Arabidopsis thaliana: one gene and its partner. The main gene of each other region encodes a partner of the protein of the gene in region 2 in a complex. Each region holds a gene or a part of one and is shown on either strand. Other genes may lie near its edges.

What was found. The genes of interacting proteins can lie anywhere in the genome.
Region 1: AT5G17410 (region 2) and SPC98 share a complex: the UniProt entries of both Arabidopsis thaliana proteins name them as parts of the gamma-tubulin complex.

Annotation. Positions count from the first base shown.
Region 1 is NC_003076.8:2,054,739-2,060,581, reverse strand, and holds SPC98 (spindle pole body component 98), read right to left. Parts: upstream 4,055-5,843; 5' UTR 3,842-4,054; coding exon 1,587-3,841; intron 1,475-1,586; coding exon 1,213-1,474; 3' UTR 723-1,212; downstream 1-722. Other genes in the region: AT5G06670 (P-loop containing nucleoside triphosphate hydrolases superfamily protein), read left to right, coding at 5,563-5,792. UniProt on the Arabidopsis thaliana protein: Gamma-tubulin complex is necessary for microtubule nucleation at the microtubule organizing centers (MTOCs). Required for the positioning of the gamma-tubulin-containing complex on pre-existing microtubules and for the proper organization of cortical arrays.
Region 2 is NC_003076.8:5,728,841-5,736,719, reverse strand, and holds AT5G17410 (Spc97 / Spc98 family of spindle pole body (SBP) component), read right to left. Parts: upstream 6,111-7,879; 5' UTR 6,070-6,110; coding exon 5,986-6,069; intron 5,871-5,985; coding exon 5,812-5,870; intron 5,697-5,811; coding exon 5,648-5,696; intron 5,345-5,647; coding exon 5,210-5,344; intron 4,777-5,209; coding exon 4,645-4,776; intron 4,107-4,644; coding exon 4,023-4,106; intron 3,946-4,022; coding exon 3,847-3,945; intron 3,748-3,846; coding exon 3,656-3,747; intron 3,374-3,655; coding exon 3,301-3,373; intron 3,227-3,300; coding exon 3,074-3,226; intron 2,986-3,073; coding exon 2,866-2,985; intron 2,780-2,865; coding exon 2,726-2,779; intron 2,582-2,725; coding exon 2,498-2,581; intron 2,382-2,497; coding exon 2,307-2,381; intron 2,221-2,306; coding exon 2,110-2,220; intron 1,877-2,109; coding exon 1,751-1,876; intron 1,640-1,750; coding exon 1,532-1,639; exon of another isoform or gene 1,121-1,531; intron 1,067-1,120; coding exon 1,004-1,066; intron 928-1,003; coding exon 853-927; and 6 more. Other genes in the region: ER-ANT1 (endoplasmic reticulum-adenine nucleotide transporter 1), read left to right, coding at 6,616-6,879, 6,967-7,338, 7,421-7,705. UniProt on the Arabidopsis thaliana protein: Gamma-tubulin complex is necessary for microtubule nucleation at the microtubule organizing centers (MTOCs). Required for the positioning of the gamma-tubulin-containing complex on pre-existing microtubules and for the proper organization of cortical arrays.

The DNA.
Region 1 (5,843 bases), 3.7 Mb from region 2:
TCTTATTTTCTTTCTTTATACAATTTCAAACTTAAAAACTCCTTTTTTTGATAATCAAGAAATTTCACATTTTTTTTTCTTTTCGTCGAGATTGAGCTTTGTTAATTAAGAATGGCTAAAGTCAAGGTACAATTGTTCAACCATTCAATTAGGAGGACAAGCATAATCAGAGTAGTAGTTACATTGAAGACAACCATGTTTGGCAAGTAAATGAGCTACTCTATTACAAGTTCTACGAGTGAATGAAAAGCTAATGTTTTGGAAGAAATTTCACATTTTGATTTCTATTTTATACTAATAATTTCAATTAACGATTAAATTAATCAATTCATTAATTGAGCATCATCGTCGCTTTGGCCGAGTGGTTAAGGCGTTTGCCTGCTAAGTAAATGGGGTTTCCCCGCGAGAGTTCGAATCTCTCAGGCGACGAATTTTTTCACCTTTTTTTTTTCCTTATATGTTAACCTCCAGTTTGGCCTGCACTTGCAAATTAATCGACAACCGTGAATTGTTTTTTCTTTTAAATTGGACACGATTGCTTTAGATTTTGAGACTGTAACTCTTGCCAAAAGCTACTTGTTTTTTGTTGTTCATATGCTTCATTCACACAGAGATAGATCAATGTGGATGAGAGGAAGAGTATCACAAAGGTTCTTCTTAATTGCAAGAGAAAGGCTTGCGGATTAAAATCACTGTGAGCTAATGCTTGTGCTCAATCTCAGGCCGTGGCTACAGAAGCTTCTAGATAGTGAAAAATTCAGAGTTTGGAGCCTTTTACACTATGGAGATACACATTATGAAGAAGCAACTGATTCCTTCTTATATCAACCAAGTCATAAAACAAATCATACAAATCAGTGAACCACAGAAGAAGAAAAAAAACTAAAGCTGGAGATCATCAGACTTATAGCACAAACTCAAACACAAACCTTCCCCAATTTACCAACACAAAGAATCTGTTTCCCAATCCTAAACTTTGAAACAAGCCATTGAAAAAACAATCTATGCAAAAGACAGAAAATCTATGAGGCAGTCTCTAAATAAGAAACAGATTCTCCCACGCACCTAGATTTTAAGAAAAGAACCTCTGCATCCCTGGTTCAGGAGAGCCCATGCTGCAGTCAGCGGTTAGTGAAAGACGTAGATAATGTCTTCTTCTCTTGCGATTGTGCAATATGCTTTTCAACTAAACCTGATACTCTTTCAACTTTCTTATCCTTTGGAATGCAATCGGCTGTAGAACTCAGTGAAGTCAAGCCGGAAAAAGAGAAACTTGAGATCTACAGATTGTTGCAGAGGCAAGAGAGATAGGAATCCATCAAGTGACGATGTGTATTCCTTTGCAATACTGTCCATATCTTGACTCATGCTTTGTAGAAATTCTCCAGCACGCTGTGTTAAGCCCTTCCTACCCTCACTGATCCATGAACCGGGCTCTTGCGATTTGTTTTTTTCTCGTCCTGATTCTTTAGATCTGCAGGAAATCGGTGATATTAGAGATCAAATTGTGACCCTAAAATCAGAGGAAAATGTTTGAGCAATAGTTTAAGGTCTACTTTTGTTTGAATATAAAAGACAAAACACACCTTATTTGCAACTCGTGAATTCCTTCATACAAACGATCTGCATGACTCCTGAACCGTAATATAAGCTCAAACAGGACGAAAAGTGATTCGCGGATGGTCTGTGACTGTTCACCCAGAAGAGATTTTCCAACAATGGCGTTGAGGTACTTCTCATGCGCTGCCAAGAGATCATCGAGGTCTTTAGCAGCTTCCATCTCTTTTGAGAAATTAGACCATGATACCTCCAATACCTCAAACATGATGTAATACTGAAAGTTAGTAACAAAATGGTTCATTTCATTCCAAAGGACCTGGCACCGCCTCAGGGCTGAGAGTAATTGCAACTTCACCGAACTTTGAAGCTTAACAAATGAGTTCGAAGTGATGCAATTTGGTTTCATGGTCTTCCAAATTCCGATAAGAGCATGCTCTACCCGTTTCAACTTCCAGAGAAAATTGAACACTCTCAGGTATTTAGACAAAACAGACTCAGTAAACACGGTATCTAATGGAACCCTTGCCTCGTATTCCAATGAGAATACATCCCAGCCTCTGTCTCCACTGCCATGAGGCATCATCTTCACTCTCAATCTGTCTAGCATGTCACGGTCATCATACTGTGCATTTGATGCTCGTATTGCAGCCTCAAGAAACCCAGCTAGCTCAAATGAACTAATATTATTGGCTGGCTCAGAAAGCTTGGGTCCTACAATATCCATCAAGTACTGGACAAAATCACCTTGACCAAGTAGTAAATAACGCTTAATCGCAAGACAATGCTCCTTAAATTTATATCTCTTATATAGAACATCCAACAGATGCTTGTCGATTCTCTTTGCTGCCTCGGTTACAAGATGTTCAAGTGCATCTGTTTCACCATACCCGAGACCTCCTCGCCTAGTTGTTGTCCCAGAGGCAGCTGCTGCTTCTGAAGCTGCATCAGCCCACCCGTGGTCATCACAGCAAACACGAAGAAAGTTTATAGATTTCCCAGTTCTCAGAATTCTCTGAGCTAGACTTGGTGAAATAAAAGATGGAAGCATTGCTGGGTGGAGCTTATAGCCTTCTCTCCAAAGCAAATCGACTTTAACCGGCTGACCTACGACAAAGAATTCACCAAAAGTATCTTCCAACTCCCCTTCTAGAACCCAACTTCTCACCATTTCAAATAGCGGAGAACACACACATCGAAGCAAACTCATCATAAAATCATGAACAAGCGGATCACCATGCTGTGCGTGCAAATGGATAGCCCCAGCCATCGCCCCACCTCTCAAAACCTTACACTTGTCAACCAAAACAGCCATCAGTCTCATTTTCACCATAGGCTCCGCAAACCATACCGACAACCTCCTCAAAGAAAGGTAATTGTTTGAGCTTGCTGATTCAGAAACCAAAGGAATAGGATTCATGGCCTGCGCTTCTAGCACAGCTAACAACTTATAATAATCAGAAAGCTCATCTTGCAACGCCGCACAAAACGCTTGCCCAACAGTTCCCACATCCTCAGCTGGAAACCGATCCATACTCTCAGTTATAAAAGTCTTAACCTTTCTAAACAACCAACCAAGCTCAGAGAGCATACGAACCATAATCCTCGTAGCTCGAGGCACCTTAACAGACTCCTGCACGGCATAACCGTCGATTTCACTGTTAAATTTGACATATTTCCCATCAATTCCTTGGCTAGCATACAAAACATCCCTCACTAGAACCTCCTCCGTCACTTCATTCTCTTCCTTAACCAAAATGGCATACTCTCTAAACGCAATATCCCTCAAATTCTCAGGATCTTTACTAACCAACAAAACCCCATTACTCCAATCCTTCTTCTTAGCCTCTCCACGGCTCAAAACCCCATTACCAGTATCACCAATCCCCAAATTAGGTAACAAAACCGAGGAATCAAGACCATTTATAGCCGATTTACGATCGTCAGAAACAATTTTAAGCAAATAAACAAGAGCCCATTTGTTATTGACACTGCCAGGTCCAGTTTTGGAAGCGAACTTAGTGTAGAGATCGGCAAAAGCGAGTGCGTCGGAGGACTTACCCTGAGTAGCGAGACGGCGTTTGAGAGACTCAGCGATAGCGGTGGCGTCAGGGAGGACGGAAGGAGTAAGACGACTAGAGAGGATACGAAAAGCGTAACGAAGGGTTTTGAGGAAGGCGGGAGAATTGGGATCGAGATTAGGGGTTTGAGGGTTTTGTGAGACGAGACGAAGAACAAGCTCTTGTACTAGATCTGCAGCCTTCTGCTGATCGTCGTCTTCCATAATCAATTCAAGCTTTTGCCTTTTTTTTCTTCTTCTTCGATTTCACCTTTTTTTGGATTTTTTTTGTTCTTCGAAGTTTTTTTGGTGAATTTGATTTTTGAAATCGAAAGAGGTTTTGCAGAGTTTGGGCGAGTGAAGAGAGTAGTGAGTGAACGAATAAAAAAAGATTGGGCTTCTTTTGGACTTTAGAGCTATGTAATTATTTTTCCTCGGCGGGCAATTGAATACATATGTTGAAATCCAAAAACATTGGAATAAAAAAACATTATGCAAAATATCTTCTCATTTTTTTTGTTATAAGTTTTATTTCAAATATATTATTTGAAACAACGGAGAAAAATAATGTTTGAATTAAAAAAAAGTTCACAAGTTAATTGATATGTTACGTAGAATTTTTTTGTTTAATGGAATTTTGAGAATTTTCCATTTTAAAATTAATAAAGAAATATATAAATATGAAAAAACCTCATAATATTTAATTCACAATAAAAGGTACCAATAAAAATGTATACTTTTTTAAAAAATTAACTAGCATTTAAAAAAGATTATTTGGTTTTATCTACCAAATTTATGTATTTATTGAGCAAAATAATAAAAACAGTTCATTTTAGACATTTGTTCTCTGAATAGAGGAATGATTTCTCTACTCATTTTAGGTAGTAAAATGTTTCTCTACTCATTATTTTCATCAATGAAGATGAAAATAAAGGAAGCTTATTTCCACTTTAATCAATTGTAAAAAGAAAAGTACAAGATCGGAATTAAAAAGTAAAAATATTAGACCTATTTTTACGTATGTGGAAAAATATTCCCTGTAACAATCACTTTCTACTTTTTTCACTAATTAATTTCTCTATATTCTGTTTGTTACAGATTGCACACCATTTATATATATACACTACTTTACTATCATTTCCATATCTTTATCTTTTTCACACCAATTTACTTCCTTATCTAATCATAATTGATTCAACAACAAAAGTTTAGAAGTTTATAGCTATTTATGACATAGAAAAATCCGTGAAGGCAAATACGTACAATTGTACATGTGTACGTATACGATTCTTCTCTTATCTTTATCTCTTAATGATGTTTTGGTGATTACAGTTTAAGAGAAGAACGAATAAACAATTGAAACTCGGGTATTATCACTTCAAACTTCAAAGGCAAGCGAGAGATTATTATTAAAAAGTAAACACTCTTTTACACAACAATCGCAATCATCTAACTAATTACTCTTTTAATGATGATTATGCTTTTCTCTTCTTTAAGTTCCTCTTCTTCTTCTTCTTCTACGTAATCACTCACTCTCTCTTGCATCATCATAATCCTTTGCATGCGATTCGGCTTTTAGCGGCGGTGATGCTACATTGAGTTAGTACCCACTTGCCTCTCTTCTTCTCTTTTATTGCAATTTTCGACCTAACCCAAGTGTTCGAAGCTCGTGGCATTTCCGTAATTCTCTTATTCCTCTCATTGTGATTCTCTCACTCGCTTACCGATTGAGCTTTGTAAACTCCCAATTTCATTGCTTTCCTGTCAATTTGCAAGTTGCTCTATGACAATTTGGAATCTTTAGCTCAGTTTGACAAAAAAAAAGGAATCTTTAGCTCATTACACAGTCGAGCATAATTCCGTTAGCTTGGTTTCAGTCTGTACTTGATAAAGTTTTGTACTTTCTTCATTTTTTCAGTCACTCGAAGTTTGAATTTGGTTTTGTGATGGGATCTAAACAAGTATCAAAGACTAGAAATGGTGGATTTAGCAAGTTAAAGACTGTTGAGTCCTCTGCATCTTCAACAACCTCGTCTTCAAAACTTTATCAAGAGGCGTCTGTAGATAGCCATAGCTCCCCTACTTCTTCATCGGTTCGAAGCAAGCCTCAGTTACCACCTAAGCCTTTGCAGTCCAAAGAAAATGTCACTGTCACTGTGCGTTTTCGTCCACTCAGGTGAATATGTTGATTTCTTTTGTGTAGGATTCAAACACTTTAGTTTTATAT
Region 2 (7,879 bases):
GAGTAATGCATTGTAAGAAAATTTGAACAAAACTACTTTTTAGTTACACAGTAAAAGATTCACAGATACTTCCCTCAAGAGACATGTAGTTGCAGTGAAAACCCACAAATCTTGAATGCAAATTTTTAACAGAGAGCCTGAGACTTGTTCTTATATCGTGGAGTTCACAAACAAAATAAAGAAACGACAACAAAAGCCTAAACACACGCACACATCTCATAACAACTTCTCAAGCTGAATATCATTTGATAACATTAAAAAACAAATTGAATTGCCTGAGTTTGTTTAGTTAAAGTCTCACCTCTTATTCTTTCGAAACACCAAGGATCCACTGGGAGAGATGAGTCAAGTATGGCTCAGCCTGGGAGCCTTTGCTCAAGACTGGTCCTAAGCTCTGCAACTCCGAGTTGAACTCCCTTTCGAAATTGCTGGTAGAACACGTAACAGACATATTAGAACAATACCGTGATAATGAAGTTCAAAAATTCTAACAGCAACGGCTTTTGTAGAGATAGTGTAGCCATTAGTTTGAAAAACAATTCCTTGTTACTACTTACAATATGGACTCTGTAACGGTTGTGTCTCTTATCATTGTCTTCTGTGGATGAGACTGGCTATTGATGTCGATAGACGATGATATCAACCACTGTGTGGCTGCAGCATATTGCAGACACACTGATTTCAACTTCTCCATTTTCTGCACCATCAGTAAATATGAGTGTAAAATATTGATAAACATTACACTATTATTAGTGCGTTCAGAATTTTTGCTCTTGTTGCACGAAAGAGAAGCACATCACACTGTTACATCTGTCCTGAGAAAACATAACATTTAGTGGAACAGCGACAAACCTTAAGGACGTCAGGTAAAAGAAGCAAGCATCCTCTCAGACATTTATCAAGAAAAAAGTCGTGATGTTGTATCACCTGCAAGATGATGGCACATTGTTCAATGAAGAATGTTTTCCCTGCAAACCAAAACAAAGCAGGTCTCTACACTTACCTCATCTACACTCCTTGTGGATTGTAGTCTATCGTGCATTACATGCCAATTTGGTTCGAGAACCTGAAGAGACATCCCACATAAAGACAAGCAAAAACAACATTAGAAAAACTTAGAGAGGCAATAGTTGCTAAAATAAACACCAAATCATCTCATAAAGAATTATGTCTTTATATACTTCTGGTGTGATTTCTCTCCTCTGTTCATTGATAGTGTACTTATTTCTCCAGAATCACGTTTTCAAGAATGTATTTCTCGAAAAACACAGTTGCAAGAAGTGCCTACATTTGTAAGTATGGTTTTTACGACTACAGAGATATCTGGATTCAATATACAGAGTGTATGTCAGCAATTCTAGAAGTTAGTTTTCCAGAGACTTACACCGCAAAATCACAATGGAAAACAGGATCTATGAATAGACAATCAGAATCTTTAAAAAACAAAAAAATATTCAGATTCCATTCTATTAGCAAAAAAAAATGTTTTAAAAAACAAACAAAACAAAACAAAAAGAACATTCAGACTTGCCTCGAATGTAAGATAATGTAGAAGGCTACTGATGAATTTAAGCATGCTACGGCAGAGAAGCGATGATCTAAGAATTGCTGTACCCTTAGAGTTCATAGACCGAATCCCCTGTAGAATTTTCACAGCAGTTTGTTAGCGAAGCAAAATGATTAAAATGGTTTTAGAAGAAACCAAAACTGAAACAAATTACAAGCTACACAATATTATATCAGTCCTTACTTGATGTATCTGCCAAGCACCACAAAGCTGGCGTTCCACATGTTTGCAATGAAAAAGAAAGCGGAAAATTAACTGGTACTTTGACAATGCTTTCTTTGATATGACAATAGATAGTGGCCATTGAACCTGAAACACAAAGCCACAACCAACAATCAAACAATTGAGTAGCCAATCGAATATGCATTTGTCGATTACTTATATAAGTATGAATGATGACTCTAGAAATGCATTAGTAGTTATATATAACAACCATTAATAGCCATTAAGCTGTGTTATTACTTATATATATCTCGACGAACAAAATAGTTCGAATCCAGATACAAACAGGTAGTTGCAGACAAGGCAAGAAAGGAGCAGACCTTGTAGCTCAAGGAAAATGTCTCTAGACCAGTGATGCTCATTGGGTCCTCAATACTATTGCTATCAGTGTCCTTGTGCATTCCCAAAGTCGTAAGCAATGAAGCTCGATCCTAAGATATGAATACAAAGTGAGAACATATAATGTACAAACTCTGTAAATTCATCACATCCAGGAAAAGACAAATTAACTGCTCACCACACAACAAGTCAAGTCTTCGTGACGAGGATCTGCTGCAGCCGCTGTGGTACGTAGAGCAAGATCTAGCAAAGACTAAATAATACACATCCATTTAGATTCCAGCAAACAAGTAGAGGCCATAACGATTTAATAATGGTAAGAAGCTTTGTCTAATATTTTGAATCATGCTCTAAAGGGGAAAAAAGTACCTGCAACTTTTCAACAGATATTTCATGCACTTTTTTGTTGAGCTCCTCTCGAGCAATGTCCATAAAATGAACCAAGAAATCACCCTGTAGTTCATTACATTGTTATACCAAAATCAATGACTGAAGAAAACAACTCAACAACAGACTTTTCACATTGATAAATTTGTGCCTAGGAAATTCTGAAGAACTCTGAAGATAACTGGTTATTCATGAACAGAACCAGCATACCTGGTCGAGAAGAAGATAGTGCTTTATAGATCGAAGCCTTCCAACAAGGTCATACTGAATCATATACTGATGGTCAGAGAGGTGTATTGACGAGGAACGACATCAAAGAAGCAGTCATCATAAAACAAAATAAGTATTACCTTATCCTTGATGAGATTCACAAGCTCTATACTGGCAAATTCGTGAGCAGCCTTTATGCATTCAAGATAATGATGATTTGACCCAAATATTGTTAACTTAGATCTCTCTGATATGGGAACCTGTTAAAAAAAATCAGCCAATGTCGGGTCCAGTGTCACAAACACTGTTAATTGTATTAATAAACAGGAAATTCATTCACAATCATACCTGAACATTGTGCCCACATTCTCTCATAACGTTTAGATATTTCCCTGTGGTCAATATTGTTGCAGCAATGTTTGCTAGGAAGCCAGGAATAGTATCCTTAAGGCTGTATCTTTGGCTCCAATATTTAGCTGTAGAGTCCTGACTGAGGCTCTCCTGTACAAAAAAAAATTGACATTGTTAGATCAAGCAATTAACAATAGTGCAGACGAGCTGAGCAATCGAAGTACCTTTTTGAGAGACCTGTTCTCGGCAATGAAAAATTCCCCATACGGATCATCAATGATCCCTTCATAGACCCACCTTAATTAAACACTATTTAAAGTTAGTTGACACATCAAAGAATAATAATATAAGCGATCTAGCAAATAGGGTAACCATGTACAGATCTGCCAAACCAAAAGATAACAAACATGTTCGCTAATCACTCCATCCAAACAAAGGAAAAACATAGTCACAGGTTGGACTTAGATTTATCTGAGCATTCCAAGCAATAACAAAAGGGAAAGGGCAGAGATTGTAGCACAATGTTTTTTTTATGGGAGTCTAGTTACGAGCAAGAAAGAAAGAGGCATGGTAATCAACCTTTCCAATATGCTTAGGTATGCGTTGCTTGCACACTCCGTCATTTTCTCTAACAATGACCTCACTGAATTATCACCAGCCATCGCTTTAGCCTAGGCATGATAGTCTTCAAGATTAGGACATTTAATAAAAAAGCTAATTCTAGTACCAAAAAAATCCAAAAACTTTTAATGACCAAAGCAGGAATCTACCTGACTTTGCAAGAGATTAAGAACACCAGAACCCACAAACTGCTTCGTTGAAGCCTGCTGAATTACTGCAGCCAATGCGCGCATGGATCCCATCATGGGCTGAGAGATACGAAAAACAATCGATCAGCATAATGTTTACGTAACTTGTAGCTTGGATTATTTGAAGAAAGACAGACCTGACAGTAAAACCATAATCCTTGGATAGAAAGTCTTCCAAGTCGAAATTGATGTTCCAATTGTGCCACCATGGCTTGATAATCCTGGTAAAAGAGAGGATGGTTAATACTAGTGTAACAATAGCAAAGAATGTTGTCAAATTACCTCAAAGCTAACATAAAATGATATCCTCAGTCCAAAAAATGCATGACATGTGTTAGACACGAAACTCAAGATGTGAAATGGAAAGAAAAGAATCAGACTATCAGTTTATTCAATGCGGCAATAGTAAGAGAGGGATTAGAGAGACAGTAAGAACTTGGAACAAAGAAGACAGTAAGAGCTATATGTGTCATCTTAGATATTCATACATATGCATATACACACACTCAGAAATGTGATAAAAAAACACCAATTCAGTGGACAAGAAAGAAACCCAATAAACAAACTAAGAGCATTCTAAAATGAGCTTTCCAAGTTCATATTTTTAGTTTACTGAGTAAATCCCCAAACTTGACTATTAGTTAAAAAAATCCATATCCAGTTCGCAAAATCCCCCATCTGTAACAGAAAGGGAACGAAAAATAACTCAACAAACAATGGATCACAATTTCCACAAAGCTAGCAACCTATATCACATACAAGGAGGAGTGCCCTGAGTGCAGCCGCGAATGCATGGTTAACTAGCCCGTTCTTGAACTGCGAGCTTGACTCCACAAATTGGTCAATCAGCAGATAATATTCACATAAAGGAAATATTCTTTTCGCCAATTCCTGCAAAATTATTTGCAACGGTCAATATATATGAGAAGAGCCAATTAAATAAAGAATTACAATGTTAATCCGTTATAACATCTCTAAAAATCCTATTCAAAAGAGAGAACCATCCTAGACATAACATAGTAATGCATGTGTCCATTTTATTGGACTTCGGAGATAATTGAACTTTCAAGAAGTCAGAACACCAATGAAATGCATCAAGTTTCATAAACATAAATATACACTTTGCAAACATCACTGTAACAGTCTCAATATGTGAAAGACTTTGTACATACATGATACATATGCACTAATTCCGGTAGCTCTAAGAAAGAACAGATCAAGCATGGTTAGAAATCACAGATTTTTTGCAGTTGACTACTGTAGACCATCATGATAAAAATGTTTGGGATAGGAACCAAAAGTTATTGTGTTGAGTACTACTTACCTGTAGTGCCAAATCCATTGATGGATCAACTTGGAAAGCTATACTATCCTCCTTCCCATGGAATCTTTTAATTGAAATATATCTCCCTTCAATTCCAACCAACGCAGATAAGAGATCATCAATGACGATAAGCTCCTGCATGCCAAAAGGAATAAAAAACAGTTACTGAAATGGACATAACAAAAGAGGTGACACCAATTCTAAACCTAGGCTAGGAAGTTCCACAATTGTTTAGCTCAGGTCAATTATCCTAGTCTATGCCACGAAAACGAGAAACCAACTTCACCTACAATGATGCCAACTTGTAAAAACTACACAACTCAAACCCAAGCTTTAAGGACCCCAACACTAGTTTCAAGGTTACATAATAACAATCTCACAGAATAAGTGGAAGCCAAGAAAAAAAGGGACAGACTTGCTTTGTAAAATAACACAAACCTGAACCGGTGTGTCATAGCAGCCAATTGCCTGCTCTACTCCAGAACTGCTGAAAGCAAAATATAAAGGTCAATGACTCTTTAGAATAAGATGAAAAAGGAACAGACTTTGGGAGGTTAAAACAGAGATGTATTACTAATTTTTAGTATAAAATTTCAAAATACCTAGACGAGTCTAAAGTAAACCTCTTAGAATCAGCAAACTTGGAGCTTGCCCTCGTTTCCTGAGATAAACCCATTGTCAAAACTACTTTTTCTCAGAAGTTACCAATGTTCACAATTAAATAGAATTTGAACGAATTAGAGAACTAAAATCAAGCACATCTGAAGATCGAGCACCTGATGGAAGCGACCAGTGAGAAATGGTCTGTCTTGGTTCCAACGAGGAGTCGTAGGGCACGAGATTGGCGTCATTGATTCCATTGCTTCGCTCCCAGTCTCTGGAACTAAAAGTTTAAACCTTTATGAAAAAGAAGACACAGATCAGTCAGACAGTCACCATATACCGAACCATCTCCGGTTTTCCTTAAAATGTCCGGTTTTAATTGAACCAGAAATTTCCAGATCCTGGTTTCAAATTCGAAATTAAAAAAGGACAAAACCATTTTTTTAAGTAAAGAAAGAAAAAACCAGCCATTGCTCCTGCCCTGTCCTCCACCTCCAGCTTTGAAATTCACAGAAAATGATTATCTCTTTTCTATTTTATTGGCTTCTCAAAACGAAATAACGAAATCGCCTCCTCTTCTTCTCCTCCTCGACCTGGAAATCAATCTTTCGCCGCCGAGTTCTTCTCTCTGCGGCGGAGAATCAATTAGCAATCTCCAGGTTTTTCACTTCAAAACCTTTCCTTTTATTATCAAATTTTGTTCCTTTTTAGCTTTAGGATTTGATATTTCTAGAACCCAGAAGAAACTCTTGCCCATAACATCTCTATATTTATTGGTATAGAATTAGGTGAGGGAAAAGAGGATGGCTTTGATCGGAAAATCCGAGAGATTCTCTGCTGATTTTGTGATGGGTGGTGCTGCAGCCATTGTTGCCAAATCTGCAGCTGCTCCAATCGAAAGGGTGAAGCTTTTACTGCAGAATCAAGGGGAGATGATAAAGACTGGACATCTCATAAGACCTTACACTGGTTTGGGTAATTGCTTTACCAGAATCTATAGAGAAGAAGGTGTTTTGTCCTTTTGGAGAGGAAACCAAGCCAATGTCATACGATATTTCCCTACACAGGTACTACATTCCAAGAACCCTTACTTTAGATCAGCGTGCTGAGGTTTGTGTTAGATTCTTATTGTCACTAAATTTAATTGCTTTTAGGCTTCCAACTTTGCATTTAAAGGTTACTTCAAGAACCTTCTTGGATGTTCGAAAGAGAAAGATGGTTACTTGAAGTGGTTTGCTGGAAATGTAGCTTCGGGAAGTGCTGCTGGAGCAACAACTTCCTTGTTTCTGTACCATTTGGATTATGCGCGGACCCGTTTAGGCACTGATGCAAAGGAATGTTCTGTTAATGGCAAGAGACAGTTTAAAGGGATGATCGATGTGTATCGTAAAACTTTGTCAAGTGACGGTATTAAAGGTCTTTACCGTGGATTTGGTGTGTCAATAGTGGGAATCACTCTTTACCGAGGAATGTATTTTGGGATGTACGACACCATCAAACCCATTGTGTTAGTCGGTTCCTTAGAGGTAATGTCATCTATGTATGCCGTTATTATTTCTTAATCTATAGCAGAAAATAGCTAAAAATGGTTCTTTGATTCCGTGACAGGGAAACTTCTTGGCTAGTTTTCTATTGGGTTGGAGTATTACTACCTCTGCAGGCGTCATTGCTTACCCTTTTGACACACTTAGGAGGAGAATGATGCTTACATCAGGACAACCTGTTAAATACCGGAACACCATTCATGCCTTAAGAGAGATATTGAAGTCGGAAGGGTTCTATGCGCTATATAGAGGAGTTACTGCGAACATGCTTCTTGGAGTAGCAGGAGCAGGAGTGCTTGCGGGATATGATCAGCTTCACCAGATTGCTTATAAGCATTGGGTTCAGTAGTTTTGGACCAAACCCGAAACGATGACAATGAAAGCTGAGCTCAAAAAGAGAAGGTTAGTAAACACCAAGAAGTCTCACTTGCTTTCCAATGTATTGTGTTAATTAACAGAATCTCGGAATCATTAACCGATTGAACCAGCAGAAGATAGGGAAAATTGTTCATAGTTCTTGTGC